Anolis sagrei: one gene and its partners. The protein of the gene in region 3 purifies or fractionates together with the protein of the main gene of each other region. This does not show direct contact. Links are inferred from orthologs where the notes say so. Each region holds a gene or a part of one and is shown on either strand. Other genes may lie near its edges. The genes, in order: NOM1, RPLP1, RPL13 and STAU1.

Region 1 (7,119 bases), on a different chromosome or scaffold from region 3:
GAGAATTACAAGATCCTAGTTATGATTTAAGGGTGATCAGATGCAACTTTGAATAAACATACTGTATATGCATTTAAATCTATTTTCTTCAGATGAAACATACCTATAGAACCCAGCCTCATTTGTGATAAACTGCATGTATTTAATACAGATTACAAACTTTCTTAAGCTCCATAAACATTAACAGAATAATTGTGGAGATAAATAAACCTCTTTCAAAATTGCTGGCTGAGAATCTGAATGTCAGATGCCATGTTTCATATCAAACCTAGCATATGATCACACATATGGAGTGGAAGGGAGGAAAGATACTAATTTTGTTCTGAAAAGCCAAACGACAAAGCAAAAGAGGTGCTAGACATGCAGCCATGAAAAATAAGTTCTACTCAAGCCCTGTTGGTTGAACTCTAAGACAAAGTTGGTTAACACAATTTCTGGAGTACCTGTTAATTAAACCTTTCAAACTTTTTTTCAGCCTTTCTAATTCTTCCATCTTCTTTGCATCTAATGTCTCTTCAGACCTTCGCATCTGAGGGGGAACATATTTAGTGGCACTCTGGGTAAGGCTCTAAACAAAACAAGGACAAAATGTTTTAGTAAGTAATTTTGTATTTCAGAATATATCTGAATATTTAGATTGAAGATGACTAAGCAGTTCATTGTATGTATTTCATTATACTATCAATGTGAACTTCACAAAAGGCTACTTTAAAAAAAAGCATAGGCAGTTAGTGCCATGAGGATAATAACTAGTAATACTACACATCCCAAACCATTTCAGGATGCATGATACTTTTAGCCATTATTAAAAGCCTGCTTAAACAACCAGGTTTTCATCTCCTTCCTGAATGTTATGAGGGTGGGTGCTTGTCTAATTGGCAAAAGTATGATAGCTGAGACCCTACGCTAATTGCGCAACGAGGGTCAGAATTAATGAAGGGAACACGTGTGCGAGACAGCGGAGTGAGTGAGAGACCCAGCTGCGACAGCATAGCAGTGAAGTAATTTAACTCAGAAGAGACCGGATAAGGTAATGTAACAGTATTTTCCACCTCCTTTTTATTCTTCCTTCCATTGGTCGTCTTTCCCCCCTCCTTTTTATCCTTCCTTCCATTATGACTCCGCTACAGTTGTGTCTTTCATTCAGTGCGCTGACTCACGCATATGTTCCCCTAATTCAGACCCGTGTTGTGCGAGCAACATAGCGTAGGGTCCCCGCTATCATACTAGTAAAGGTACAGGTTTTCTCCTGACATTAGGTCCAGTTGTGTCCGACTCTGGGGTGTGGTGCTCATCTCCATTTCTAAGCCGAAGAGCCAGCGTTGTCTGTAGACACCTCCAAGGTCATGTGGCCAGCATGACTACATGGAGTGCTGTTAGCTTCCCACCAGTAGACCTATTGATCTACTCACATTTGCATGTTTTTGAACTGCTAGGTTGGCAGAAGCTGGGGCTGACAGGGAACTTGCAGCTTTTCAGTTAACAAGCTCAGCAGCTCAGCGCTTTAATCCACTGTGCCACTGGGGGCTCCCATACTATCATACTATTGCCATCTAATTTCCCTGGGGAGGGCATTCCAAAGTCGGAGGGGCACTATTGAGAAGGCCCTCTCCCTTGTCCCCACCAACCTTGCTTGTAAGGGAGGTGGGATTAAGCAAAGGGCCTCCCCAGCTGATCTTAGAGCCTGTACTGGTTCATAAGGAGAGATGTGGTCACGTAAACCGGCAGGACCCAAACTGTATAGGGCAGTGGTTCTCAACCTGTGGGTCCCCAGATATTTTGGATTTCAACTCCCAGAAATCCTAACAGCTGGTAAACTGGGATTTCTGGGAGTTGTAGGCCAAAACACTTGGGGACCCACAGGTTGAGAACCACTGGTATAGGGCTTTATAGGGTTTGAATTGGACCCACAGAAACCTTTTGCACAGACCTCGCCATCTTGGAGCGACTCCAAAGTTCTGCCTCTTGAACTTTGAAGTTCATTGGCGGCATCTCCACCATCTTCACTGTCCTTTTCTTCTTCTTCCATACTGGATTCTTCTGAATCTTCTCCCTCCATGCTCAAATCCTCCTCCTCCTCCTCCTCATCATCATCATCTGAAGCTTCTCCCTCCATGCTCAAATCCTCCTTCTCCACATCATCATCATCTAAAGCTTCTCCCTCCATGCTCAAATCCTCCTTCTCCACATCATCCTCATCATCTGAAGCTTCTCCTTCCATGCTCAAATCCTCCTCTTCTTCCTCCTTCTCCACATCATCACCATCTTCTTCTTCCTCCTCCTCATCACTTTCTTCTCCCTCTTGCTTGGCCATTCCTCCTTTTCTCTCTTCCTCCTCTTCCTCGGTGGTGCTCTCGTAGAGGCCGGAGAAGGCGTCCCCAGGCCCGAAGGCCCCCAAGACGTAGCCCAGACCATCTAGGGCGAAGCTGCGAGGCAAGGCCGCCGCCTCGGCCTCCTCCAGGCCCTTCTGCCGCCGCTTCTTCCTCCTCTTCCCGAGGCCCAGCTGCCTCTCCAGGCGGCGGATCTCCCTCTCCTCCGCCTCGTTGGCCGCCAGCAGCGCCTTCTTCCTCGCCTCAAGTGAGGCCTTCCCCGTGGGGAGAACTTCCTTTCTCGGCTTCTTCTCCTTCTCCTTTTTGCCTGAGGAAGGCGGCAGCGATGGGGGAGGCCTTTTCACCTCCATAACGGCCTTCTTTTCCTTCTCTTCCACTTTCCCCCCGTTCAGGAGCCACCGCCGTTGCTTTCGCTTCCATTTGCGCTTCTCTCGCCTCAGTTCGCGGCGCTTCCCTCGAGGCCTCTGCTTGGGAAGGCCCTGCACACAGCCGCTGCTTCCGTTCTTTTCGCTCCCCGCCGGGACTGAGGCCTCCACGAACTCCCGCACCGCCAGGCCCAGTTTGTGGAGCTGCTTCCCGGCCTGCCTTCCCCGGCCCCGTGAGGAGAAAGAGGCCTTCATGGTGTCGCAGGCCTGCCTTCTCTTCAAACACACCACTTCATGGGCGCCGCCATTTTGGAAAGGGAGAAAAACAAAAACAAGAGCAGCGCCACCTGCTGGCAAGGCAGCGAAGGCTTTGTGTAGGGCTTCACTTTCGGACTTCATTTCCCAGAGTTCCTCGCCGTTGCCCAAAGTGGCCGGGGCTTCTGGGAGTTGTGGTCCAACATGCAAAAGCTAGACGCCACTCTATCTATCTATCTATCTATCTATCTATCTATCTATCTATCTATCTATCTATCTATCTATCTATCTATCTATCTATCTATCTATCTATCTATCTATCTATCTAATCTATCTAATCTATTTTATCTAATCTATCTTATCTAATCTATCTTATCTAATCTATTTTATCTAATCTATCTCATCTATCTATCTCATCTATCTATCTCATCTATCTATCTCATCTATCTATCTATCTATCTAATATAAAAATGCTCTGTGTATAATTAGTACCTTCAACCAGGGGATCACAACCAGACACAGTGAAGACATCTGCCCTTGTGCTTTGCTACTCTGCTGCTGAGTATGCATGCCCAGTGTGGAATACATCTCACCACACTAAAACAGTAGATGTGGCTCTTAATGAGACATGCCGCATTATCACAGGGTGTCTGCGCCCTACACCACTGGAGAAATTACACTGCTTAGCCGGTATCGCACCACCTGACATCCGCCGGGAAGTAGCAGCCAATAGTGAAAGGACCAAGGCAGAGACATCTCCAGCTCATCCCTTGTTTGGGTATCAGCCAGCACGTCAACGATCTAAATCCAGAAATAGTTTTCTAAGATCTACAGAGACACTCGCTGGAACACCTCAGCAAGTGAGAGTCCAAAAGTGGCAAGCTCAAACCAGGCCCGTAGCCAGGATTTTTTTTTGGGGGGGGGGGGGGGGGAGGCTGAATTTTTTTCAGGGGCCGTTTGGGGGGGGTGAGTTTCAAGGGGGCTGAGTCTGAGTGAAAGAGGGTCTAGCCTAGCAAACTTTTTGTATCGTTGCCCCAATACCCCCATGCATATGGGATATATTGAGTATGGTGATCAGATCATGATATGAATAAACATAACAGTTTAAATAATGCACCAGTAAGGCCTTTTCATGAACCACCATGAGAATTTGGGGGGGGGGGGGGAGGCTGAAGCCCCTCAAGCCCCCCCCCCCCCCCCCGGCTACATGCCTGGCTCAAACCCAGAACCTCAACCAATGGCTGATACCAAATGAGAGACTCCCCCCTGGGCACACAGAGGACTGGGCGACTGGGAAGGCGCTGAACAGACTGCGCTCTGGCACCACAAGATGCAGAGCCAACCTCAAGAAATGGGGCTACAAAATGGAATCCTCAACATGCAAGTCTGGAGAGGAGCAAACCACTGACCACCTGCTGCAATGCAGCCTGAGCCCTGCCACATGCACAATGGAGGACCTTCTTGCAGCAACACCAGAAGCACTCCAAGTGGCCAGATACTGGTCAAAGGACATTTAATCAACTACCAAACTCACAAATTTTGTATTTTGCCTGTTTGTTTGCTTTGTTCTGTTAGAAATTTAATATAATTGACTGGCTGCCCTGACACGACAAATAAATAAAATAAAATAAATTTCCCAGAGTTCCTCGCCATTGCCCAAAGTGGCCGGGGCTTCTGGGAGTTGTGGTCCAACAAGCAAAAGCTAGAAGCCACTTATTAGAAATCAAGCAAGCAAGCAAGCCTGACTGCTCATTGGAGGGAAGAATAGTAGAGGCCAAAATGAAGTACTTTGGCCACATCATGAGAAGACAGGAAAGCTTAGAGAAGACAATGATGCTGGGGAAAATGGAAGGAAAAAGGAAGAGGGGCTGACCAAGGGCAAGATTTTATTTATTTATTTACTTATTTCAGGCATTTCTAACCCGCCCTTCTCAACCCCCGAGGGGAGGACTCAGGGCAGCTTACAAAAGGCACAATTCGATGCCTACACAATAATACAGATAGACATATATACATTTATTTATTTACTTTATTTGTATACCGCTCTTCTCAGCCGTTAGGCGACTCAGAGAGGTTTACAACAATTTAGATATACACAATACAAAATCATTAAGCATTTAAAAGCAATAGCATCACAAATCATTAAACATCAATATCAATACATCACTACATCCATATAACAAATCCATCAGGTCTCATCCATGAAATCAGAATCCAAACTCGTTATCCGATATTCCGTGTTCCGATAGTCAGTCAATCAATCACACCTCTTAGTCGAATGCCTGTTCAAACAGCCAGGTCTTTACTTTCCTCCGGAATGCCAGCAAGGAGGGGGTCGATCTAATATCTGCAGGAAGGGCGTTCCACAGCCGAGGGGCCACCACTGAGAAGGCCCTGTCTCTCGTCCCCGCCAGGCGTGCTTGTGAAGCCGGTGGGATCGAGAGCAGGGCCTCCCCAGACGATCTTAATGTCCTAACTGGTTCATAGGAGGAGACTCGTTCGGACAGGTAGGTCGGGCCAGAACCGTTTAGGGCTTTAAAGCCTAAAGCCAGCACTTTGAATTGTGCCCGGTAGCAAATTGGCAGCCAGTGGAGCTGGTGCAGCAGTGGAGTGGTGTGCTCCCTGAGTGCCGCTCCTGTTAGCATCCTGGCTGCCGATCGTTGGACCATTTGAAGCTTCTGAGCAGTCTTCAGAGGCAACCCCACGTAGAGAGCACTGCAGTAGTCTAAATGGGATGTGACTAGAGCATGGACAACCGTGGCCAAGTCAGGCTTCCCAAGGCACGGGTGCAACTGGCGCACAAGTTTTAACTGTGCGAATGCTCCCCTGGTCACCGCTGAAACCTGGAGTTCCAGGCTCAGCGATGAGTCCAGGGTCACACCCAAGCTGCGAATCTGCGTCTTCAGGGGGAGTGTGACCCCGTCCAACACAGGCTGTAACCCTATACCCTGTTTGGCCTTACGACTGACCAGTAGGACCTCTGTCTTGTCTGGATTCAATTTCAATTTGTTAGCTCTCATCCAGTCCGACACAGCAGCCAAGCACCGGTTCAAGGTCTGGACAGCCTCCTTAGTGACAGGTGAGAAGGAGTGACAGATTTGGACATCATCTGCGTAGAGATAACACCTCATTCCGAAACTCCGAATTATCTCCCCCAGCGGCTTCATGTAGATGTTAAATAACATCGGGGACAGAATTGAACCCTGTGGGACTCCACACAAGATGGATGGATGGCATCCTTGAAATGACTGGATTGACCTTGAAGGAGCTGGGGGTGGTGATGGCCGACAGGGAGCTCTAGTGTGGACTGGTCCATGAAGTCACGAAGAGTCGGAAACGACTGAACGAATGAACAACAACAACAACTTATTAGAATGCAGCTACGTCCATCTTCATCGCTATGATACTTCATCTTGTTGATGGGAAACTTCCCACCAGAGTGGAAATCAACTATCTTGACAGATGGCAAGCTATTTAACCTCAGCAGACTGAAAGCCAAAACCAAGGTCACAACAATATCTGTTATAGAACTCCAATATGCCAATGACAATGTAGTCTGTGCGCATTCAGAAAGATCTACAAGCCACTCTATAAACACATTTGGAGAAGCATACAAGAAGCTCGGCTTCTCATTGAACATCGAGAAAACCAAAGTGCTCTTCCAGCAGTCACCAGCCAGTCCCTCTGCAATCCTTCTGCAATGCCAGAAATACTGCTTAATGGTGTAACACAAGAAAATGTTATTATTATTATTTATTTATTTATGGCATTTACAATATATATTTTCATACAATATATTATATTATTAGCATAGTACAATATCAGTATTATATATTACTATATTGCACTATACCATTATATTGTAATATTATTAGTTGGCCATTTCCGCTCCCTTGGCAGCCACCTCTCCACAAAATTTATCATTGGCATTGAAATACAACACTGTCTGAGCTCTGCGAGTGCAGCATTTTTCCAAATGAAGCAGAGAGTGTTTGAGGATCGGGACATCCGTAGGGATACCAAGGTGCTTGTTTATAAAGCTATTGTCCTTCCAACTCTGCTATACGCCTGCGAAATGTGGACTGCTTACAGACGTCATACGCAACTCCTGGAACGATTCCATCAGCGTTGTCTCCAAAAAAATCCTGCAAATCTTTTGGGAAGACAGG
Region 2 (7,213 bases), on a different chromosome or scaffold from region 3:
AGGAAGAAGAGACCGAAAATTCAGCCCTTGCCATGAATACTTGGTTTGCATGCTTTAGAAAAACACCTGTGTTCACTGGTAAACCCCTAGCTTTACTGGAAAACGACCTATAAATTTATTTATTTTATTATTTATTTACGGCATTTATATGCTGCCCTTCTCACCCCGAAGGGGACTCAGAGCGGCTTACAATATATATTTTCATACAATATATTATATTATTAGCATAGTACAATATCAGTATATATTACTATATTGCATTATACCATTATATTGTAATATTATTAGTAATATTACATGTAATGTAAATATATAATTATAATATTGAATTATTACTAGTATTATATTGTATTACATTATAATATCATATGTATATACAATATACTATATTATATTATCAGTAAAGACAAGATGGAAAATTATTATATAGTACAATATAATATATAATACTAATATTGTGCTATGCTGATAATATATATACACATTTAATATGAATAATAGTATCTAATGTAATACAAAAGAATACTAATATTGTGCTATGCTAATAAAATAATATATATACATATAATAGTATTATATATAATGGCACTCCATGCAGTCATGCTGGCCACATGACCTTGGAGGTGTCTATGGACAACACCAGCTCTTTGGCTTAGAAATGGAGATGAGCACCACACCCAAGAGTCAGACATGACCGGACTTAATGTCAGGGGACAACCTGACCTTACCTTAAAATAATAGTATTATAACTTGAAAACAACATATACATTATCTTGTGATTTAAAACTGTGGCACCTGTACCCTAATCCTATAGCCTTCTAGACTAGCACTTGATATCTCCTCGCCTCGTGGTAATAACGCATAAGACCACTTTTACTAGCAGGCTTATGTTTGGCCTGTGGGGGAAGGGTGATTGGGAAACTGTTTTAATCTGTTGTATTCCATCCATGTTTTAACTATTTTATAATTTGAAATGTTATATTTATTATTTGTATTAATATTGAGACATTGAATTTTGCTATAATTTGTAAGCTAATCTGATTCCCCTTCAGGGTGAGAAGAGCAGGGTAAAAATATAGTAAATAAATAAATAAAAATGTTATAGAATACTATCCTAAAATTATATACATTTTATAATAGTATTATAAAGTAATACAATCTAATCCTAATAATACAATATATTAATGATGTGCTATGCCAATACATTTATTTATTTATAGTATTTATATTTCACTCTTCTCACCCCACAGGGGACTCAGGGCAGATTACAATGTACATATACGTGGCAAACATTAAATGCCATAAGCACACAACATATATAGACAGGCACACAGAAGCTATTTAACATTCCAGCTTTCATGAGGGTATTCTGGCCACCAGGGGAATTGTCGCTTCACCATCCATTAGTGACAATGGAGTACTTCCTCATAGAATCATCGAATCAAAGAGTTGGAAGACACCTCATGGGCCATCCAGTCCAACCCACTGCCAAGAAGCAGGAATATTGCATTCAAATCACCCCTGACAGATGGCCATCCAGCCTCTGCTTAAAAGCTTCCAAAGAAGGAGCCTCCACCACACTCCGGGGCAGAGAGTTCCACTGCCGAATGGCTCTCACAGTCAGGAAGTTCTCCATTCTTTTTGCATAGTCGCTGAAGATTTTTATGGCGTCGTAAATTAGTTAAATTAGCCTCCCCGCATAAGTGGTGCCTAAATTTCCTACTTGACAGATGCAATTCTTTCGGGCTGCAGAAGCCGACAGCAAGCTACACAACAGTCGGAAGCGCACTCCGACCCCGGCTGGCTTCGAACTCATGACCTTTTGGTCAGTAGTGATCTTAATGCAGCTGACTCCCAGCCAGCTGCACTACAGTCGGTGCAATACATACACAGAGTATAATTTTAAGTTGTCATGTTTTTAATTGTGAGCCACTTTTGAGTCTCCTAATGTAGAGATGCAGTGGGTTAAACCCCTGTGCCAGCAGGACTGAAGACCGACAGGTCACAGGTTCGAATCCAGGGAGAGGCAGTTGAGCTCCCTCTATCAGCTCCAGGGGACATGAGAGAAGCCTCCCACAAGGATGATAAAACATCAAATCATCGTCCCCTGGGCAACGTCCTTGCAGATGGCCAATTCTCTCACACCAGAAGCGACTTGCCGTTTCTCAAGTCGCTCCTGACATGGCAAAAAAAGTGGGATGCAAGTTAATAAATATTAACCTGCAAGTATCTGAAATTTTCAGCAGCTACCTGATATCTGCTCTCATGAGCTAGAAGCTATTCATTGAATCCCTTGATATTGGCAACCCATCAGTATCCCATTACGAGGCACTTACAAAAGATCCCAACGCTGATACTGGCCATCCAACGAAAACCCAGTGATAAATGTTGGGATTGAATTTACCTTTGCAAACAGGCCAGGCCAGAAAGGTTCCACATTGACGCCTGCTGCTTTGATGAGAGCATTGATCTTGTCCTCCTAAAACCAAAGAATATGACATAGTCAGATACTATAAAGCAGGTTTATTTGGATGCAGGCATGGGCCGGTAGGCTGTTAGGAATTGTGGGAGTTGGAGTCCAAAACCCCCGGAGGGGAGGGCCCAAGTTGGCCCATGTATTAGCTCCGCGCATGCGCCCTCGCTCTTCCCAAGTTTGCCCATGCTTGCTTCCCAGCATTGCCTCCACGCATGCGCCCTCGCTCCTCCCGTTTGCCTTTGCATGCTTCCCAGCATTGCCTCCGCGCATGCGCCCTCGCTCCTCCCCGGCCTCCTTCCCTACTTCAGGCACTGACCGTGATGGCAACCTCGTCGTCGTGGAGGATGAGGGCGGAGTAGATGCAGGCGAGCTCGGAGACGGAGGCCATGGCGGGTCCGGAGAGGGGAAGAAGAGGGCGCGGTGCTGGTCGCCGGCTGGAAACTCGGCCTTAGCTTCGTCGGAAGGACGCAGCACCTTGTGCGCTCCGGCCTGAGGCAGAACAAGGAAAGGAAGGCCTCGCGCCCGCCGCGCCGCTTATCAAGCCCGTCTCGTCCAATCAGCAGCCGCCTCGGGACAGCGCGCTGGCCAATAAGCGACTCCTTTGTGTTTCTCGAGGGCCAATCGCGTCAGAGAGCGAGGGTGGGCCTCATGGGTTGGTCGGCCGGGTTTGCGCGAGAGTTCGCGAAGCCAATCAGAGCGAGGCATGCTCCCCGGTGAGACAAAACCGCGTGGTGTGAAAGCAAGAGCGTCCAATCAGCGAAGGACTTGTTGGCGCTTATAGAGATAGAAATTTTAAAGATGGCCACCGGGAGATTCAGGCCTTAAAGCGCCTTAGAGTTATAGAGCGTGTTCATAGAATCAGAATCATAGAATCAAAGAGTTGGAAGAGACCTCATGGGCCATACAGTCCACCCCATTCGGCCAAGAAGCAGGAATATTGCATTCAAATCACCCCTGACAGATGGCCATCCAGCCTCTGCTTAAAAGCCTCCAAAGAAGGAGCCTCCACCACACTTTCAATTAAAAACCTTATAAGGCAACTTAAAACGTACCAATATACAAAATAAAACAGTATTATCATTATATATTATTGTATATTATCAGTGGTATAATAACTAATATATTAATTAGTGGTATATTAATATTATACCAATTATAATTAATATTCTTATGTATTATTATAATTAATATATTTCTATTATATTGTATAATTATATTGTGAAGATTGTATACATTACAATATTATTTATAATATATGTCTATACAATACAATACAACCAGAGATATGTAGTCACCTACGGATGTGAGAGCTGGACCTTAGGGAAGGCTGAGCGAAGGAACATAGATGCTTTTGAGCTGTGGTGTTGGAGGAAAGTGCTGAGAGTGCCTTGGACTGCGAGAAGATCCAACCAGTCCATCCTCCAGGAAATAAAGCCCGACTGCTCATTGGAGGGAAGGATACCAGAGACAAAGTTGAAGTCCTTTGGCCACATCATGAGGAGACAGCAAAGCCTAGAGAAGACAATGATGCTGGGGAAAGTGGAAGGCAAAAGGAAGAGGGGCCGACCAAGGGCAAGATGGATGGATGGCATCCTTGAAGTGACTGGACTGACCTTGAGGGAGCTGGGGGTGGTAACGGCCGACAGGGAGCTCTGGCGTGGGCTGATCCATGAGGTCACGAAGAGTCGGAGACGAATGAACGAATGAACAACAAAATACAATACAATATTAGTGTTATATATATTATTATATAGTATAATATTGTCTTACTATTAATATAAGTTTATACAGTATATTAGCATAGCACAATATTAGTATTATACTATACGTAGTATATTATACTATATATACGGTGGCGCAGTGGGTTAAAGACCAGGAGGTCTCTTCCAACTCTTTGATTCTATGTAAACCCCACTTGCCTAGTTTCCAATAAATCTCGCAAACTCTGAGGATGCCTGCCCTAGATGCTGGCGAAACGTCAGGAGAAAATGCTTCTGTAACATGGCCATACAGCCCAAAAAACTTACAGCAACCCAGTGAATCTGGCCATGAAAGCCTTCGATAAGACAATAGAATCAAAGAGTTGGCAGAGACCTCATGGGCCATCCAGTTCAACCCCATTCTGCCAAGAAGCAGGAATATTGCATTCAAATCACCCCTGACAGATGGCCATCCAGCCTCTGTTTAAAAGCTTCCAAAGAAGGAGCCTCCACCACACTCCGGGGCAGAGAATTCCACTGCTGAACGGCTCTAATAATAATAATTGTGCAGAAGCCATTGTTATTATGTTTGTGTTTAACTGTTAGAGTATGTATTTTTGTTTGTAACAGTAGCTAAAACTGGAGTCATCTGGTTTGAATCCACAGTGAGCGTTGCCAAGGAGACGAGGCTGGCTAGCTCATGAGAGGGAGAAGTGAGCGGAGCCAAGCAGGAAACGTTATGTGCGTTTTTAAAAAAGGCCAGAGAGTGAGGCTTGGAAAGGCCTGAGAGAGAGGCTTGTGTGTGAGCGGCTGGTGTTTTTTCAGTCTAGGAGGGCTGAAGAAACCTGGCCAGATTCTTTAGTCAAAGAAGACAAACGGAAGCCTAGTTAAGATCCCTAGTTAAGGAAGGACTAGAGATCAGAGATTTGATCGAGGGAAGATCAAATTGAAAGGCTATTTGTAGTAGTGAAACATTGTTCACTAGAGAGCTTCACTTCAGTGAAAGTTAGCCACAAGCTGTGTTATTTATTTATTTATTTATTTATTTACTGTGCTTATATACCGCTGTTCTCAGCCCGGGGGCGACTCACAGCGGTGTACAACATAGAGAGGACAGGGTGCAAATTACAAGACACAATCTAAAATCAATCTAGCAATAACAAAAAACATCGTCATCAACAACATCAACAATATCAATAATACAAAAAGCCATTTGCGTCGTCTCATCGTTAAACCACAATCCAGTATCATTTTCCGTTGTTCCATTCCTGTCGTCATTACCAATTATTGCACTTCTTGTTCGAACGCCTTCTTGAACAGGCAGGTCTTTAGTTTCCTGTGGAATATCATCAGGGAAGGAGCCAGTCTGATGTCCATGGGAAGGGTGTTCCACAGCCGAGGAGCCACCACCAAGAAGGCCCTGTCTCTTGTCCCCGCCAGGTGTGCCTGTGAGGCAGGCGGGATCGAGAGCAGGGCCTCCCCGGACGATCTCAAAGTCCCCGTGGGCTCGTAGGCCAAGATGCGGTCATATAAGTATCTTGGGCTGGAACCGTTTATCTGGAAGAGTGGACTGTATTATAAACCACATGATGTTCAAAGTTCCATAAGTTATTTAACAGCCTGCAACTATAAGCTTTGTACACAATAAAGTTGTTATCTTTGTTGAAAACCGTCTCATCTCAACTAATCTGCGTCTGTAGAGCCAGATCTCATCGGTGGTACCTCAAACTGTTGGTGGCCGTTACCTTAATTTACAAATAATAATTGGCCTCCTCCATAATATTCTCTTCTACACCATTGAGGCCTGAGGTAAATTCCCTCCATAACACCCACATCTGTACAGTTGGTGGCAGCGGTGAGATTAAAAAGTGCCTGAGGTAAAATACTTCCATTATTAGGACCTCAGCAACACACAAGCACCTCCTCGCAACTGGTGATAGCGGTGGGGATCTTCAAAGCTAAAATCCCTATACCCTGTCCATTGTTGAGTTCACATCTTCCCAATAATAATAATGAGTCTTGTTTTCTATTTGTTTCGTGTGAGCGAAAAGCAGGCCCACTTGAGGGTGGCTCCGAGGCGGGAAACCCTGAGGAGGGTTGTTTGAGGGAAGAGAAGGCCGCATCTCTGAGGGCGAGGCCTGGTGGAAGTCCTGAGGCAAGAGCGGCCTCCCTCCCTCCTTCCTTTCTATGACTATATATATATTTATTATTTATTTATTTATTAATGCACTTGTATACCGCTAATATCTCAGCCTAAATCGGCGACTCATTGCGGTTTACAACATTTAAAAAACAATATTCAGTTAAAAGCATAAAACACATATACAGTACAAATTATTGGGCCACCAATAACAATCCTATGCATCTCATAACTGGAATCGTAATCCAAAATTCATCGTCCGTGTATAACCAATCCTTAGTCATCACAATTCGTTACAACGGATTAACCGAATGCTTGTTTAAACATCCATGTCTTCAATCTTTTCCGAAACACCATCAGCGAAGGGGCTGATCGTACCTCTATGGGGAGGGTGTTCCAAAGCCGGGGGGCCACCACAGAAAAGGCCCTATCTCTCGTCCCCGCCAGCCGAGCTTGAGAAGCAGGCGGGATCGAGAGCAGGGTCTCCCCGGAAGATCTCAAACTCCTGGTGGGTTCATAGGCAGAGATGCAGTCAGATAGGTAGCTTGGGCCGGAACCGTTTAGGGCTTTAAAGGCCAACGCCAGCACTTTGAATTCAGCCCGGTAGCAGATCGGTAGCCAGTGGAGTTGGCGCAACAGGGGGGTTGTATATATATAATCATAATAATAATACTACAGTGTGTGTGTATATATATATATATAGTAAGCCGCTCTGAGTCCCCTTCGGGGTGAACAATAATAATAATAATAAAAAATTATTCGGGGTGAATAATAATAAATAATAAATAAGGGGACTCAGAGCGGCTTATATATATACATAGTGTGTGTGTGTATATATATATATAACGATAATACAGTATATGAACTTGGATGTGTCTATGGACAACGCCAGCTTTT
Region 3 (7,127 bases):
TAGAAGGTTTTGGTGGGCATTGACCTTGAGTTTTGTACACCTACATCCAGAGAGCACTGTGGACTCAAACAAAAATGGATCTGGACCAAACTTGGCACAAATATTCCAAATGCCCAACTAGGAACACATATGGAGCTTGGGGGGAAATGGTCCTTAACATTTGGGAGTTGTAGTTATTGAGATTTATAGTTCACCAAAAATCAAAGAGAATTCTGAACCCCACCAACGATAGAATTGGGGCAAACTTCCCACACAGAACCCCTATGACCGGTAGAAAATACTTAAGACCATCCAGTCCAACTCCCTTCACCAGGGCAAGAAAATGTAATCAAATACAGTTTACCCACAAGCATAAAGGAGATTCTTCATTAGTTCATGACCTCATGCGAAGTTGCTTATCAATGTTTTTAGAATATAATGAGATTTCAGTTTCCAAAGTAACAATTTGTTGTAAAAAGTTCTTCATCAATATATAACATCAGGAATAGTACATAATACAACAAGGTCTCTGTTTCCTTGTTTTGTAATATCTTCTTCTGGTGTTATTCTTATCTATGATGTTTGAATTCACCGAATAAGAAATAAAACAACATACAGAAAATAGATATATTAAAATCCCCATATTGACATAGTTTCAACCTTTTCAAAACTATGCATGAGGTCATGAACTAATGAAGAATCTCCTGGTATATAGTAATTGTCACTTTGGAAGCTTAAATTTCATTGTGTTTACAGAATATTGATAAGCAACCTTTCATTTATAAACAGTTCCCGCTGTTCCCACGTTTTGTTGAATGAAGATTTTCCTGTAATATAGAAATTGTGATTTGCAATCTGCAGGTTTTTTTTTCTGCAGTTATTATAGATATCTGTGCATGTTACACACATCCAGTCCAACCCCCTGCCAAGAAGCAGGAAAATTGCATTCAAAGCACCCCTGAGAGATGGCCATCCAGCCTCTGTTTAAAAGCCTCCAAAGAAGGCGCCCCCACCACACTCCGGGGCAGAGAGTTCCTGCCTGAGCTGATTCCTACCTGGGGGAATCCTTTGTTGGAAGGTCTTTGCTGGCCCCAATTGTTTCATATCTGGAATTCCCCTGTTTTCAGAGTGTTGTTCTTTATTTACTTTCCTAATTTTAAAGTTTTTAGAAAAAGTCAGATTTTTTTCATTTTCTGGGTTTCCTCCATGACTACACAGAAAAGCCTTTGAAATCCACAAGCATGTGGACAATTTCAACAGAAAGGACAATTTGGACAATTTCAACATGAAAATGAACACATTCTAGCTGCAAGTGTTAAAAATCTCTAAAATTAGGACAGGAAAGAAAGAACAGCACTCTGAAAACAGGGGAGTTCCGGACAAGAATCAATCAGGGCCAACTAATACCTCCCAACAAAGGATTCCCCCAGACAGTAAGAAATCAGACCTTGAAGTTGCAAGGCCATGAAATGCTAATCGAGGTGGCCAATTGCAACATTCACACCTGCCTCAAACAGACAAGAGTTCTTTATCCCACCCTGGACATTATTCCACAGATATATAAATGCCATTTCCTAGTTTCCAACAGACCACAACCTCTGAGGATACCTGTCACAGATGCAGGCAAAACATCAGGAAAAGCTTTTGGGGGTTTTTAAAGTCCCATCGGCTGTGTTTTTAAGTGTTTTTATGAGTGAAGGACATACATTGGGTTGTTAGGTGTAGTGTGTCCAAATTTTGTGTGACTTCACCTAACTGTCCTGCGAGTGTCCATCACCCATAAACACGCGCGCACACTCACACAAAACCCCAGCGGAACAGACTTAAAACCCCCAAAAATACACCATATATACATATACTCATATACATATGCACATACACACATTCATACACACACACGTATATATATGCACAAATATACATATACACACACACACATATACACACATACATGCACACATATATATACATATACACAATATGCATGTACACATATAAACACACAAATCTATTTTTTTGTTCATTCGTTCAGTCGCTTCCGACTCTTCGTGTCCTCATGGACCATCCCATGCCAAAGCGCCCTATCGGCCGTCACCACCCCCAGCTGCTTCAAAGTCAAGCCCGTCACTTCAAGGATGCCATCCATCCATCTTGCCCTTGGTCGGCCCTTCTGCCTCTTTCCTTCCATTTTCCCCAGCATCATTGTCTTCTCTAAGCTTTCCTTTCTTCTCATGATGTGGCCAAAGTACTTCATCTTGGCCTCTACTATCCTTCCCTCCAATGAGCAGTTGGGCTTTTAATCCTGAAGTATGGACTGGTTGGATCTTCTCGCAGTACACAAATATATACACACAAATATATATACACACATAAGATATATATATATATTTAGAGAGAGAGAGAGAGAGAGGTGTATATATGGGTGTGTACATATATATGTGTGGATGTATATACACAAATATATACACCCACATATATATGTATGGGAGCCCCCGGTGGCGCAGTGGGTTAAAGCACTGAGCTACTGAGCTTGTTGATCGAAAGGTCGCAGGTTCGATTCCGGGGAGCGGCGTGAGCTTCCGCTGTCAGCCCTAGCTTCTGCCAACCTAGCAGTTCGAAAACATGAAAATGTGAGTAGATCAAGAAGGTAACGGCGCTCCATGCAGTCATGCCGGCCACATGACCTTGGAGGTGTCTACGGACAACGCTGGCTCTTCGGCTTAGAAATGGAGATGAGCACCACACCCCAGAGTCAGACATGACTGGACTTAGTGTCAGGGGACTACCTTTTGTTGTTGTTCATTCGTTCAGTCGTCTCCTACTCTTTGTGACCTCATGGACCAGTCCACGCCAGAGCTCCCTGTCGGCCGTCACTACCCCCAGCTCCTTCAAGGTCAGTCCAGTCACTTCAAGGATGCCATCCATCCATCTTGCCCTTGGTCGGCCCCTCTTCCTTTTGCCTTCCACTTTCCCCAGCATAATTGTCTTCTCTAGGTTTTGCTGTCTCCTCATGATGTGGCCAAAGTACTTCAACTTTGTCTCTAGTATCCTTCCCTCCAATGAGCAGTCGGGCTTTATTTCCTGGAGGATGGACTGGTTGGATCTTCTCGCAGTCCAAGGCACTCTCAGAACTTTCCTCCAACACCACAGCTCAAAAGCATCGATCTTCCTTCGCTCAGCCTTCCCTAAGGTCCAGCTCTCACATCCGTAGGTTACTACAGGGAATACCATGGCTTTGACTAGGCGGATCTTTGTTGCCAGTCTGATGTCTCTACTCTTCACTATTTTATCGAGACTGGACATTGCTCTCCTCCCAAGAAGTAAGCGTCTTCTGATTTCCTGGCCACAGTCTGCATCTGCATTAATCCTTGCACCTAGAAATACAAAGTCTGTCACGGCCTCCACGGTTTCTCCCTCTATTTTCCAGTTGTCAGTCATTCTTGTTGCCATAATCTTGGTTTTTTTGACGTTTAGCTGCAACCCGGCTTTTGCGCTTTCTTCTTTCACCTTGATTAGAAGGCTCCTCAGCTACTCCTCGCTTTCGGCCGTCAGAGTGGTGTCATCTGCATATCTGAGGTTGTTAATGTTTCTTCCAGCAATTTTCGCCCCAGCTTTGCACTCATCAAGCCCCGCACATCGCATAATGTGTTCTGTATACAAGTTAAAAAGGTTGGGTGAGAGGATGCAGCCTTGCCGGACGCCTTTCCCAATCTTGAACCAGTCTGTTGTTCCGTGGTCAGTTCTGACTGTTGCTACTTGGTCCTTGTACAGATTCCTCAGGAGAGAGGGAAGGTGGCTTGGGATGCCCATCCCACTAAGAACTTGCCACAATTTATTATGATCCACACAGTCAAAGGCTTTAGAGTAGTCAATGAAGCAGAAATAGATGTTTTTCTGAAACTCCCTGCCTTTCTCCATACATCCATAGGCATGTATACGCAAACACAAATATGTACACACATAAATACACAAAACAAATATACACAGTCTGGGCCACAGCAACGCGTGGCAGGGGACGGCTAGTAAATAAATATAAAGAAGAAGCAGCCAGGAGCGCGCGGCTCCTTTAAAACCGTCGCCATGTTTGTTGATGGCACGGATCTGCATGTCGCTGAGCAGCTGACGCCGCCAAAGGCCCTGATTCGGAGACTTCCGTTTCTGGCCCACGCACAGCGTTACACATATCCCGGCGTCCCGTGCGGCGCTTCTTTCTTTTTCCGGCCGGCCATTTTCCCTCCCGGGAGGTGAGTTCTTGTGTCGCGGAGGGGGACGGGGCGTTATCTGCCGCCATCCTCCGCCTGAAGCGGGGTGAGTGGCTCTTCAGGCGAGCGGGGGGATTCTCGGGGGCCCCACGACTACGAAGGCAGGCTTCTTTGGGGCGGGGAGGGAAAGGCCGCCCTGGAAGTGAGCGGCCCCTCCGAGGCGCTGTCAAGGCCTGGGCCGCCATCGATTCTTGTCAATGGGAATATTTGCTTGATAGTTGGGTTCCGTAGGAAATTCACGACCCTCTTTAGTATAATTAAAGGTATATTGGTGAGTGGGGAGGGGCTTCCTTCTGGGTGTCTTTGGTTTATTCCCATTTTAATCTCCCCATTTTAATAGCCATAGGCTTCATATAGCAGTAGTTGTTGCTGCCCTTAGCCACCTTTGTTTAGGTAACTATGCATGTCTCTACACAAGGCATAGGCCAACTTGAGCCCTCCAGGTGTTTTGGACTTCAACTCCCACAATTCCTAACAGCCTACGGCTGTTAGGAATTGTGGGAGTTGAAGTCCAAAATACCTGGAGGGCCCAAGTTGGCCCATGCCTTTTCTACACTGTAGAATTAATGCAGTTTGACATCACTTTTTACTATTGGCTCATTGCTGTGGAATGTGGGCTTTGCAGTTTTACTATACCAAACATAGGCCAACTTGGACCCTCCAGGTGTTTTAATATAAATTGTATTATATGTTGCAATATAATATATTGTATGTACTACAACTTACGATACAATATATAATGCTAACATAATATACTAGTAGTGTATTATATATATCGTGGTATAATAATATCTCGATAAAATAGTAAAGAGTAGAGACATCAGGCTGGCAACAAAGATCCGCCTAGTCAAAGCCATGGTATTCCCTGTAGTCACCTACGGATATGAGAGCTGGACCTTAGGGAAGGCTGAGCGAAGGAAGAGAGATGCTTTTGAGCTGTGGTGCTGGAGGAAAGTGCTGAGAGTGCCTTGGACTGCGAGAAGATCCAACCAGTCCATCCTCCAGGAAATAAAGCCCGACTGCTCACTGGAGGGAAAGATACTAGAGACAAAGTTGAAGTACTTTGGCCACATCATGAGGAGACAGGAAAGCCTAGAGAAGACAATGATGCTGGGGAAAGTGGAAGGTAAAAGGAAGAGGGGCCGACCAAGGGCAAGATGGATGGATGGCATCCTTGAGGTGACTGGACTGACCTTGAAGGAGCTGGGGGTGGTGACGGCCGGCAGGGAGCTCTGGCGTGGGCTGGTCCATGAGGTCACGAAGAGTCGAAGACGACTGAACGAATAAACAATAATAATATAGTACTATGTAGTACCAATGATAGGATACAATCTATATAAATAAAAATGTAATGTTGCTTTGTGGGATTAACATAACTCAAAAACCACTGGACGAATTGACACCAAATTTGGACACAAGATACATATCAGGCCAACGAGTGACCATCACTCGTAAAACACTGAAAACACAGCAGAAGAGACTTTAAAAGCCAAAAAAGCAAAACATACATTGCAACGCATGCACAAAACCACATATATACACAACATGCACATGTACATAAATATATACAGAAATATATACACACACAAAACATATATACATAGACTGGGACACAGCAATGCGTGGCAGGGGACAACTAGTATTTATTTATACCGCCTTTCTCAGCCGAAATGGCGACTCAAGGCGGTTTACACAGTAAAGATTAACACAATAACATCAAAAGGCAATTAAAAACACAGTTATACAAAACATATACAAATATATATAATACTAACATTATAACGTACTGATAATGTATGTTTTGTGGCATAATATAGTACAATGTAGTACTACTGAGCTGCTGAACTAAGGGACCAAAAGGTTGGCAGTTTGGATCTGGGGAGTGGGGTGAGCTCCCACTCCCAGATTCTGCCAACATAGCAGTTTGAAAACATGCAAATGTGAGTAGATCAATAGGTACCGCATCTGCGGGAAGGTAACTGTGCTCCATGCAGTCATACCGGCCACATGATCTTGGAGGTGTCTGGACAATGCCGGCTCTTCAGCTTAGAAATGGAGATGAGCACCAACCCTCAGAGTCGGACACAACTAGACTTAATGTCAAAGGGAAACCTTTACCTATGCAATAATACACAACAATATTATTGTATATGATATATAATATTGCTAGTAATATTGCAGTATAATGTGTTCTTATTTTTGATGTAGATGTGGATTTGTTTTAGGGATTTGGGGGTTCGTTGTTTTTGTCTTTGTCCAGTTTTTCACTGCATTTAATGTTTGCCGATATCTGTTGTAAACCACCCTGAGACCCCTCAGGGAGACAAGGTGGGATATAAATAAAGTTTTGTTATTATTTTGGACTTCCAACTCTCAAAATACCTGGAGGGCCCAATTTGGCCTGTTCCTGGTCTATATTTTACAATGAATGCAGCTCAGCTCCTTGCAAAACTACAGCTCCCAGGATTCCATAGCCTTGAGCCATGGGGGGCCAAACTGTATTAATGCTACAGTGTAGATTCACTATGGACCATGTAGTTTTATCTAACATACATTAGTTTGCTATTGTGGTATGTCTTAAAGGCTAATCAATAAAATTATTATCAAAACACATTTTACATGAAGTAAATGTGTACTATGCTATTAGTGTATACTCTGTAAAATATTGCGGCTTCATATAATAATTTTATACAACAATTTCGTAATTGTTCTTATCAGTTACAGGAGACCTATAGAATTAGGGAACTTGGTTAGACTCTGCAGAGGAGTTAGTATTAATTGGATTCAGTGGTGTATTTCAGGGGTCCTCAAACTAAGGCCTGGGGGCCAGATACAGCCCTCCAAGGTCATTTACCCGGCCCTCACTCAGGGTCAACCTAAGTCTGA
Region 4 (7,916 bases), on a different chromosome or scaffold from region 3:
TACAGCATTTTACATGAATTCTACAGCATAGATCATATACCAGCTGTTAGGAGTTGAAGTCCAAAATGCCCTGAGGGCCCAAGTTTACCCATGGCTGGCATAGATGCATCCTGAATCAGTTTGGTAGCATAATGTAAACCAGTGTTATCCCTCAGATGCATAACACAACAGCAATCCTGCCTGGATCAAACCATAAGTCTCTCTGTGCCCCATATCTGCCAAACCACAGATGTCTCTGGGAAATCCACAAAAAAGAAGATATAGGCCCCTTCCACACAGCTGAATAAAATTCCACATTATCTGCTTTGAACAGGAATATATGGCAGTGTGGACTCAGATAATCCAGTTCAAAGCATATATTGTGGGATTTTCTGCCTTGATATTCTGGTTTATATGACTATGTGGAAGGGCCTATAGAGGAGGAGGCAATGAGGAGCGACAGATGTGCGAGCTGCAAACCCAGAAGAAATTGAGAGGTGTAGAGAAGAAGGTCAAACAGGCAACAGAAAATAAATTTCCCTTGTATAGATGGAGTATTCCTGATCTGAAATCCTTGGGGCCAGAAGTGTCATTGGGCCCTTCCACACAGCCATATAACCCAGAATATCAAGGTAGAATATCCCACAATATCTGCTTTGAACTGGGATATCTACCAAATAATCCAGTTCAAAGCAGAAAATGTGGGATTTTGTTCAGCTGAGTGCCAGGGGCCTGAGCCATATCAACAAGTTCACTGTGAATTTTATACAGCTGTGTGGAAGGGTAATTTTGACCTGAGATTTTGAAACACCTGCATATGTACACACGAGACAACACGCCCAAACACAAGGACCCGTTTACGTTTCGTAGGAAGGTAGTTTCATACACCGTATTCTTGGAACAACATTCTGCACATTAAGCCAAGCCCCCTTCCACACAGCTGAATAAAATCCCACATTAGACGTTGAGACACTCATGAGGGTGGCTCCCTGCACACAGGCTAGGAGGCCTTCCACAAAGCTACATAACCCAGAATATCAAGGCAGAAAATCCCACAATATCTGCTTTGAACCGGGTGATCTGAGTCCACACTCAGATAATGTGGGATTTCCTGCCTTGATATTGTGGGATATAGGGCTGTATGGAAGGGCCCCGAGTCCAGACTACCATATAATTCAGTTCAATGTAGATTTTATACAGCTGTGTGGAAGAGGCCCTAGGGCCCCTTCCACACAGTTCTATATCCCAGAATATCAAGGCTGAAAATCTCACATTATCTGTGTGGACTCCAATAACCCAATTCAAAGCAGATATTGTGGGATTTTCTGCCTTGATATTCTGGGATATAGGGCTGTGTGGAAGGGCCCACAGTCAGAATATCAAGACAGAAAATCCCACAATATTTGCTCTAGAACTGGGTTATCTGAGTTCACACTTATACAATCCAATTCAAAGCAGATAATGTGGGTTTTTATTCAGCTGTGTGGAAGGGGCTCTAGTTAAAAGCAGATATTGCGGGATTTTCTGCCTTGATATCCTGGGCTATATGGCTGTGTGGAAGGGCCCTCAGATAACCCAGTTCCAAATAGGCATTGTGGATTATCTGCCTTGATTTTCTGGGTTATATGGCTGTGTGGAAAGGCCCTCAGATAACCCAGTTCCAAATAGGTATTGTGGATTATCTGCCTTGATTTTCTGGGTTATATGGCTGTGTGGAAGGGCCCTCAGATAACCCAATTCCAACCAGATATTGCAAATTATCTGCCTTGATTTTCTGGGTTATATGGCTATGTGGAAGGTCCCTCAGATAACCCAATTCAAACTAGATGTTGTGGATTATCTACCTTGATATTCTGAGTTATATGGCTGTGTGGAAGGGACCTGAGATAACCCAGTTCCAAATAGATATTGGGGATTATCTGCCTTGATATTCTGAGTTATATGGCTGGGTGGAAGGGCCCTCAGTTAACCCAGTAACAAACAGATATTGTGCATTATCTGCCTTGATATTCTGAGTTATATGGCTGTGTGGAAGGGCCCTAAAATAACCCAGTTCCAAGCAGATATTGTGGATTATCTGCCTTGATATTCTGAGTTATATAGCTGTGTGGAAGGGCCTTCTAATAACCCAGATTCAAACATATATTGTGGATTATCTGCCTTGATATTCCGAGTTATATGGCTGTGTGGAAGGGCCTTCTAATAACCCAATTCAAACTAGATGTTGTGGATTATCTGCCTTGATATTCTGAGTTATATGGCTGTGTGGAAGGGCCCTAAAATAACCCAGTTCCAAGCAGATATTGTGGATTATCTGCCTTGATATTCTGGGTTGTATGGCTGTGTGGAAGGGCTCTCAGATAACCCAGTTCCAACCAGATATTGTGGATTATCTGCCTTGATATTCTGGGTTATATGGCTGTGCGGAAGGACCCTCAGATAACTCAGTTCCAAATAGACATTGTGGATTATCTGCCTTGATATTCTGGGTTATATGGCTGTGTGGAAGGCCCTCGTGGGTGTCTCCCCCTCTCATGGGGAGGGGGGAACCTTTCACCATCTGAAAAGTCAAGGTGTCACTCTCTCGGCCTCTCGTGGGGGCCATTTATAATCGGGAAGCTGGAGTTCCCCGGGGAAGGGGTCTTCCTCCGCAGTCGGGCGCCCCCACCGGCCGGCCTTCAACCAGAGGAGAGGAGAGGAGCCTCCGCCAGACCCCTCCTCCTCCTCCTCCTGGGCTTAGGCCCAACCGCGGTCTCCTCCTCCTCCTCCTGCTCTTCCTTCTCCCCCGAAGGGCTGCGAGGGGAGGCCACGGGAGGGGGGCGTCCCAGCCTCTTCCCTCCCTTCCCTCACCTGGTGCTTCTTCTGGGCTGCGGCTCCCGGGCCGGCTCGTGTGGGCGGCGGGCGGCTCAGTCCATCGGAGGCTCCGGGCAGGGCGGGCGGGGAGGGGTCCAGGGCGGGAGGGGAGGCGAGCGAGTGGCGGCGGCGGAGGCAGGCACAGGGCAAACACTAAAGAGAATGAGAGCGGGGCCAGCTCCGGCCGGGGGAGGAAGTGACGCAGGCGCGGCGGCGTAAGGGGCGGGGCCCTACTCCACTTGCTATTTATACAGACCAAGCATGGGCGAACTTGGGCCTTCCAGGTGTTTGGACTTCAACTACAACCAATCCTCACAGCCTCAGGCCCTTTCTTTTTCCCCCTCAGCCGCTTAGCAGTATGTGTGAAAAAGATCTTGGAGTCCTCGTGGACAACAAGTTAAACATGAGCCAACAATGTGATGTACCGGCAAAAAAAAAGCCAATGGGATTTTGGCCTGCATCAATAGGAGCATAGTGTCTGGATCTAGGGAAGTCATGCTACCCCTCTATTCTGCTTTGGTTAGGCCACACCTGGAATATTGTGTCCAATTCTGGGCACCACAATTCAAGAGAGATATTGACAAGCTGGAATGTGTCCAGAGGAGGGCGACTAAAATGATCAAGGGTCTGGAGAACAAGCCCTATGAGGAGCGGGTTAAGGAGCTGGGCATGTTTAGCCTGAGGAAGAGAAGGCTGAGAGGGGATATGATAGCCATGTATAAATATGTGAGAGGAAGCCACAGGGAGGAGGGAGCAAGCTTGTTTTCTGCTTCCTTGGAGACTAGGACGCGGAACAATGGTTTCAAACTACAGGAAAGGAGATTCCACCTGAACGTGAGGAAGAACTTCCTAACTGTAAGAGCCATTCAGCAGTGGAAATCTCTGCGCCGGAGTGTGGTAGAGGCTCCTTCTTTGGAGGTTTTTAAACAGAGGCTAGATGGCCATCTGTCAGGGGTGATTTGAATGCAACATTCCTGCTTCTTGGCAGGGGGTTGGACTGGATGGCCCACGAGGTCTCTTCCAACTCTATGATTCTATCAATAATAATAATAATATCTTTATTTATATCCAGCCCCTCTCCTGTAGGGGACTCTGAATGGCTTACGACAAGGCAAAGCCATACAAAATAACAATAACCACATAATACTTTAGAAATTAAGACAAATGATAAACAGAACAGAACATAATGAGAAATATAAATAATAATAATGGTCCCAGTGGTGATCAGCACACTGGGTGCAGTGCTGAAAGGCCTTGGCCTGTGCTTAAAAACAATCACCGCTGACAAAATTACCATCTTGTCAGCTGCAAAAGGCCACCCTACTCGGCTCTGCACACATTATTCGCCGATACCTCACACAGTCCTAGACACTTGAGGAGTGTCCAATGTGTGATTGAATACAAAAGCCAGCAGTTATGTTATTTGCTGTGTGCCAATCTTGTTGTGTATCAAATAACAACAATAATGAATCTTTAATTATATCCTGCTTTTCTCCCACAAAGGGAGCCAAAGTGGCTTCCAACATGTTAAAATACAATAAAGTACAAAACAAAATGATCAAAAAAGGCACGGAAATAATAATAATAATAATGATAATAATAATAATAATAATAATAATAATAATAATGTATTTGTAACCTGCCCTATCTCCCCAGCAGCTTCCAGAAAAGAAAAGAAAAAAACAGCAAACATTCAATGCCAAAGTGAGCAACAAAACAAATCAAAACAACACATAGATAACATCAATATAAACTTTAAAAATATCAAGCAAAAAGTGGGTGCCAGAAATAGTATCATACGAAAATTGACTGGCACAACCTGGGGGTCACAACCAGATACAGTGAAGACATCAGCCCTTGTGTTTTGCTACTCTGATGCTGAGTATGCATGCCCAGTGTGGAATACATCTCACTATGTTAAAACAGTGGATGTGGCTCTTAATGAGACATGCCGCATTATCACAGTATGCCTACATCTACCCCGCTGGAGAAATTATACTGTTTAGTCTGTATTACATCACCTGTCATCCGGTGGGAAGTAGCAGCCTGTAATGAAAGGACCAAGGCATTGACATCCTCTGTTCAAATATCAGGCAATAGGACAATGGTTCTCAACCTGTGGGTCCCCAGGTGTTTTGACCTACAACTCCCAGGAATCCCAGCCAGTTTACCAAAAAACATCTGGGGACCCCAGGTTGAGAACCACTGCAATAGGACAACATCATAAATCAAAAAAATATTTTTCTAAGATCTAGAGATACTCGCAGGAACATCTCAGCAAGCTAGAATCCAAAAGTGGCAGGCTAAAACTTGGAATCTCAATCAGTGGCCAATACCAAATGAGAAGATCCCTTCCACCCCCTGGGCACACAGGATACTGGGCGAGTTGGAAGGTGCTGAACTAACTGCATTTTGGTACGAGATAAGGAGCCAATCTTAAGAGATAGTGCTACCAAGTGGAGTTCACGACATGCGAATGTAGAGAAGGGCAAACCACAGACCACTTACTACAGTGGTTTTCAACCTATGGGTCCCCAGATGTTTTGGCCTTCAACTCCCAGAAATCCTAACAGCTGGTAAACTGGCTGGGATTTCTGGGAGTTGTAGGCCAATACACCTGGGGACCCACAGGTTGAAAACCACCGACTTACTACAATATGATCTGAGCCCTGCCACATGCACAATGGAGGACCTTGCCACAGCGATACCAAAGGCACTCGAAGTGGCCAGCTTCTAGTCAAAGGAAATGGGTTGTTGTAGGTTTTTCGGGCTATATGGCCATGTTCTAGAAGAATTCTCTTATTCTGACAAGCTGGAATGTGTCAAGAGGAGGGCGACTAAAATGATCAAGGGTCTGGAGAACAAGCCCTATGAGGAGCAGCTTAAGGAGCTGGGCATGTTTAGCCTGAAGAAGAGAAGGCTGAGAGGAGATATGATAGCTATGTATAAATATGTGAGAGGAAGCCACAGGGAGGAGGGAGCAAGCTTGTTTTCTGCTTTCTTGGAGACTAGGACGCGGAACAATGGCTTCAAACTACAAGAGAGGAGATTCCATCTGAACACGAGGAAGAACTTCCTGACTGTGAGAGCCGTTCAGTAGTGGAACTCTCTGCCCCGGAGTGTGGTGTTGGCTCCTTCTTTGGAAGCTTTTAAACAGAGGCTGGATGGCCATCTGTCAGGGGTGATTTGAATGCAATATTCCTGCTTCTTGGCAGGGGGTTGGACTGGATGGCCCACGAGGTCTCTTCCAACTCTTTGATTCTATGATGCTATGACGTTTGGCCTGCATCTATGGCAAGCATCCTCAGAGGTTGTGAGGTCCTCACAACCTCTGAGGATACTTACCATAGATGTGGGTGAAACGTCAGGAGAGAATGCTTCTAGAACATGGCCATATAGCCCCAAAAACCTACAACCTAGTGATTCCAGCCATGAAAGCTTTCAAAAATACATTGTAAATTTAGTATAATGCCAAGTTTTTAACTTTGTGGTTTCTTTATACATTACAACTGTATTCTCAATTAGCTTCTGCCATGATGAATAAATAAAATATCATTAATAACAACACTTAACATCATCATTAATATATATAAGCTTTCCCAATATGATCCCACTCCTATCTGCCCTCTCTCCTTCTCGCTCGCCGCTCTCAAAATAACTACGTTTCCCAGCAAGTTTGAAGTGCACTTCCCGGAAGTGACGCAACTCCTCAACTTCAGGGCTTATCGCCTGCCTCCACGCGGCAGCTCAGAATCCTACAACTCCCGGCATGCCTTGCAGGAGGTGGGATTTACAGCTCTGGAGCCAAGCGGAAGGGTGTGCTATTGCCAATCCGTCCTCGGATGCCGGTTCTTCTTGCTGTCAAGACTCAATCTAGAATGGATCCAAAGACCAGTGTTGTTCTTGTGTGGGCTGTACACAAGATACTGCACGCAATTATTATCCATATTGTTTGTGAAATTGTATATAAGGTGTATAAGGGGGCAGCTGCACCAGGCAGGGGCAAGCTTGGGCCCTCCAGGTGTTTTGGACTGCAACTCCCACCATTCCTTACCTCGCGAAGGCTGATCTGTCCGGAGTGATCCATGCCTTGGTCACCTCTAGATTGGACTACTGTAATGCGCTCTACGTGGGGCTGCCCTTGAAAACGGCTCAGAAATTCCAACTGGTCCAATGGGCAGCGGCCAGGATGTTAACTGGTGCTCCTTACAGAGAGAGGTCAACCCTCCTGTTTAAGGAACTCCACTGGCTGCCGTTTATTTTCCGAGCCCAGTTTAAGGTGCAGGTGCTTACCTACAAAGCCCTAAACGGTTTGGGGCCATCCTACCTGCATGACCGCATCTCCGTTTACGAACCCACGCACTCACTGCGCTCATCCGGAGAGGCCCTGCTCGTGATTCTGCCTGCGTTGCAGGCGTGTTTGATGGGGACGCGAGACAGGGCCTTTTCTATGGTGGCCCCCCGACTCTGGAACACCCTTACCAAAGATCTTAGACACGCCCCTACATTGGCAGTCTTTAGAAAGAACTTGAAGACCTGGCTGTTCCGATGTGCCTTCCCAGAATAGGAAAACTCCATAATAAGTCCCAAAAGCACTTTAGTAGGATTGAGATTGCTGAGCACTGCACACTGCACTTGCCCTATAATCCTTACATATCACCTGTCACATCAGCACTTTTAATTCTGTACCCATTACTCTGGCCCGGCCCAGTTTTATTGTGTCTTGGTGTATTGCTTATTGCTTGTTGTTTAATATTGCTTTAATTGTTTTAATTTGATTTCGGTTTTTGTATCATTATGTTGTGTTTTGAGGCCTTGGCCTTTGTAAGCCGCATCAAGTCCTTCGGGAGATGCTAGCGGGGTACAAATAAAGATAATAATAATAATAATAATAATAATAATAATAATAATAATAATTCCTTACAGCCTCAGGCCCCTTCCTTTTCCCCCTCAGTCTCTTAAGCTGATCTTAGAGTCCTCGTGGACAACAAGTTAAACATAAGCCATGCCATGGGGCAGCTAAAAAAGCCAATGGGATTTTGGCCTGCATAAATAGGAATGCAGTGTCTAGATCAGGCAGGGGC

Evidence for each region.
Region 1: the proteins of RPL13 (region 3) and NOM1 purify together in Homo sapiens (co-immunoprecipitation; 3 studies listed by BioGRID and IntAct, with this or other methods). This does not show direct contact. The link is inferred for Anolis sagrei from reciprocal best matches to the Homo sapiens genes RPL13 and NOM1.
Region 2: the proteins of RPL13 (region 3) and RPLP1 purify together in Homo sapiens (affinity purification with mass spectrometry; 3 studies listed by BioGRID and IntAct, with this or other methods). This does not show direct contact. The link is inferred for Anolis sagrei from reciprocal best matches to the Homo sapiens genes RPL13 and RPLP1.
Region 4: the proteins of RPL13 (region 3) and STAU1 purify together in Homo sapiens (affinity purification with mass spectrometry; 3 studies listed by BioGRID and IntAct, with this or other methods). This does not show direct contact. The link is inferred for Anolis sagrei from reciprocal best matches to the Homo sapiens genes RPL13 and STAU1.

The regions. Positions count from the first base shown.
Region 1 is NC_090026.1:119,310,126-119,317,244, forward strand, and holds the start of NOM1 (nucleolar MIF4G domain-containing protein 1), read right to left. Parts: upstream 3,010-7,119; 5' UTR 2,951-3,009; coding exon 1,931-2,950; intron 569-1,930; coding exon 444-568; intron 1-443. UniProt on the Homo sapiens protein: Plays a role in targeting PPP1CA to the nucleolus.
Region 2 is NC_090024.1:10,970,838-10,978,050, forward strand, and holds the start of RPLP1 (large ribosomal subunit protein P1), read right to left. Parts: upstream 3,006-7,213; 5' UTR 2,865-3,005; coding exon 2,793-2,864; intron 2,480-2,792; coding exon 2,405-2,479; intron 1-2,404. UniProt on the Homo sapiens protein: Plays an important role in the elongation step of protein synthesis.
Region 3 is NC_090028.1:27,718,522-27,725,648, forward strand, and holds the start of RPL13 (large ribosomal subunit protein eL13), read left to right. Parts: upstream 1-4,125; 5' UTR 4,126-4,223; intron 4,224-4,247; exon of another isoform or gene 4,248-4,287; intron 4,288-7,127. UniProt on the Homo sapiens protein: Component of the ribosome, a large ribonucleoprotein complex responsible for the synthesis of proteins in the cell.
Region 4 is NC_090024.1:220,680,110-220,688,025, reverse strand, and holds the start of STAU1 (double-stranded RNA-binding protein Staufen homolog 1), read right to left. Parts: upstream 3,008-7,916; 5' UTR 2,830-3,007; intron 1-2,829. UniProt on the Homo sapiens protein: Binds double-stranded RNA (regardless of the sequence) and tubulin.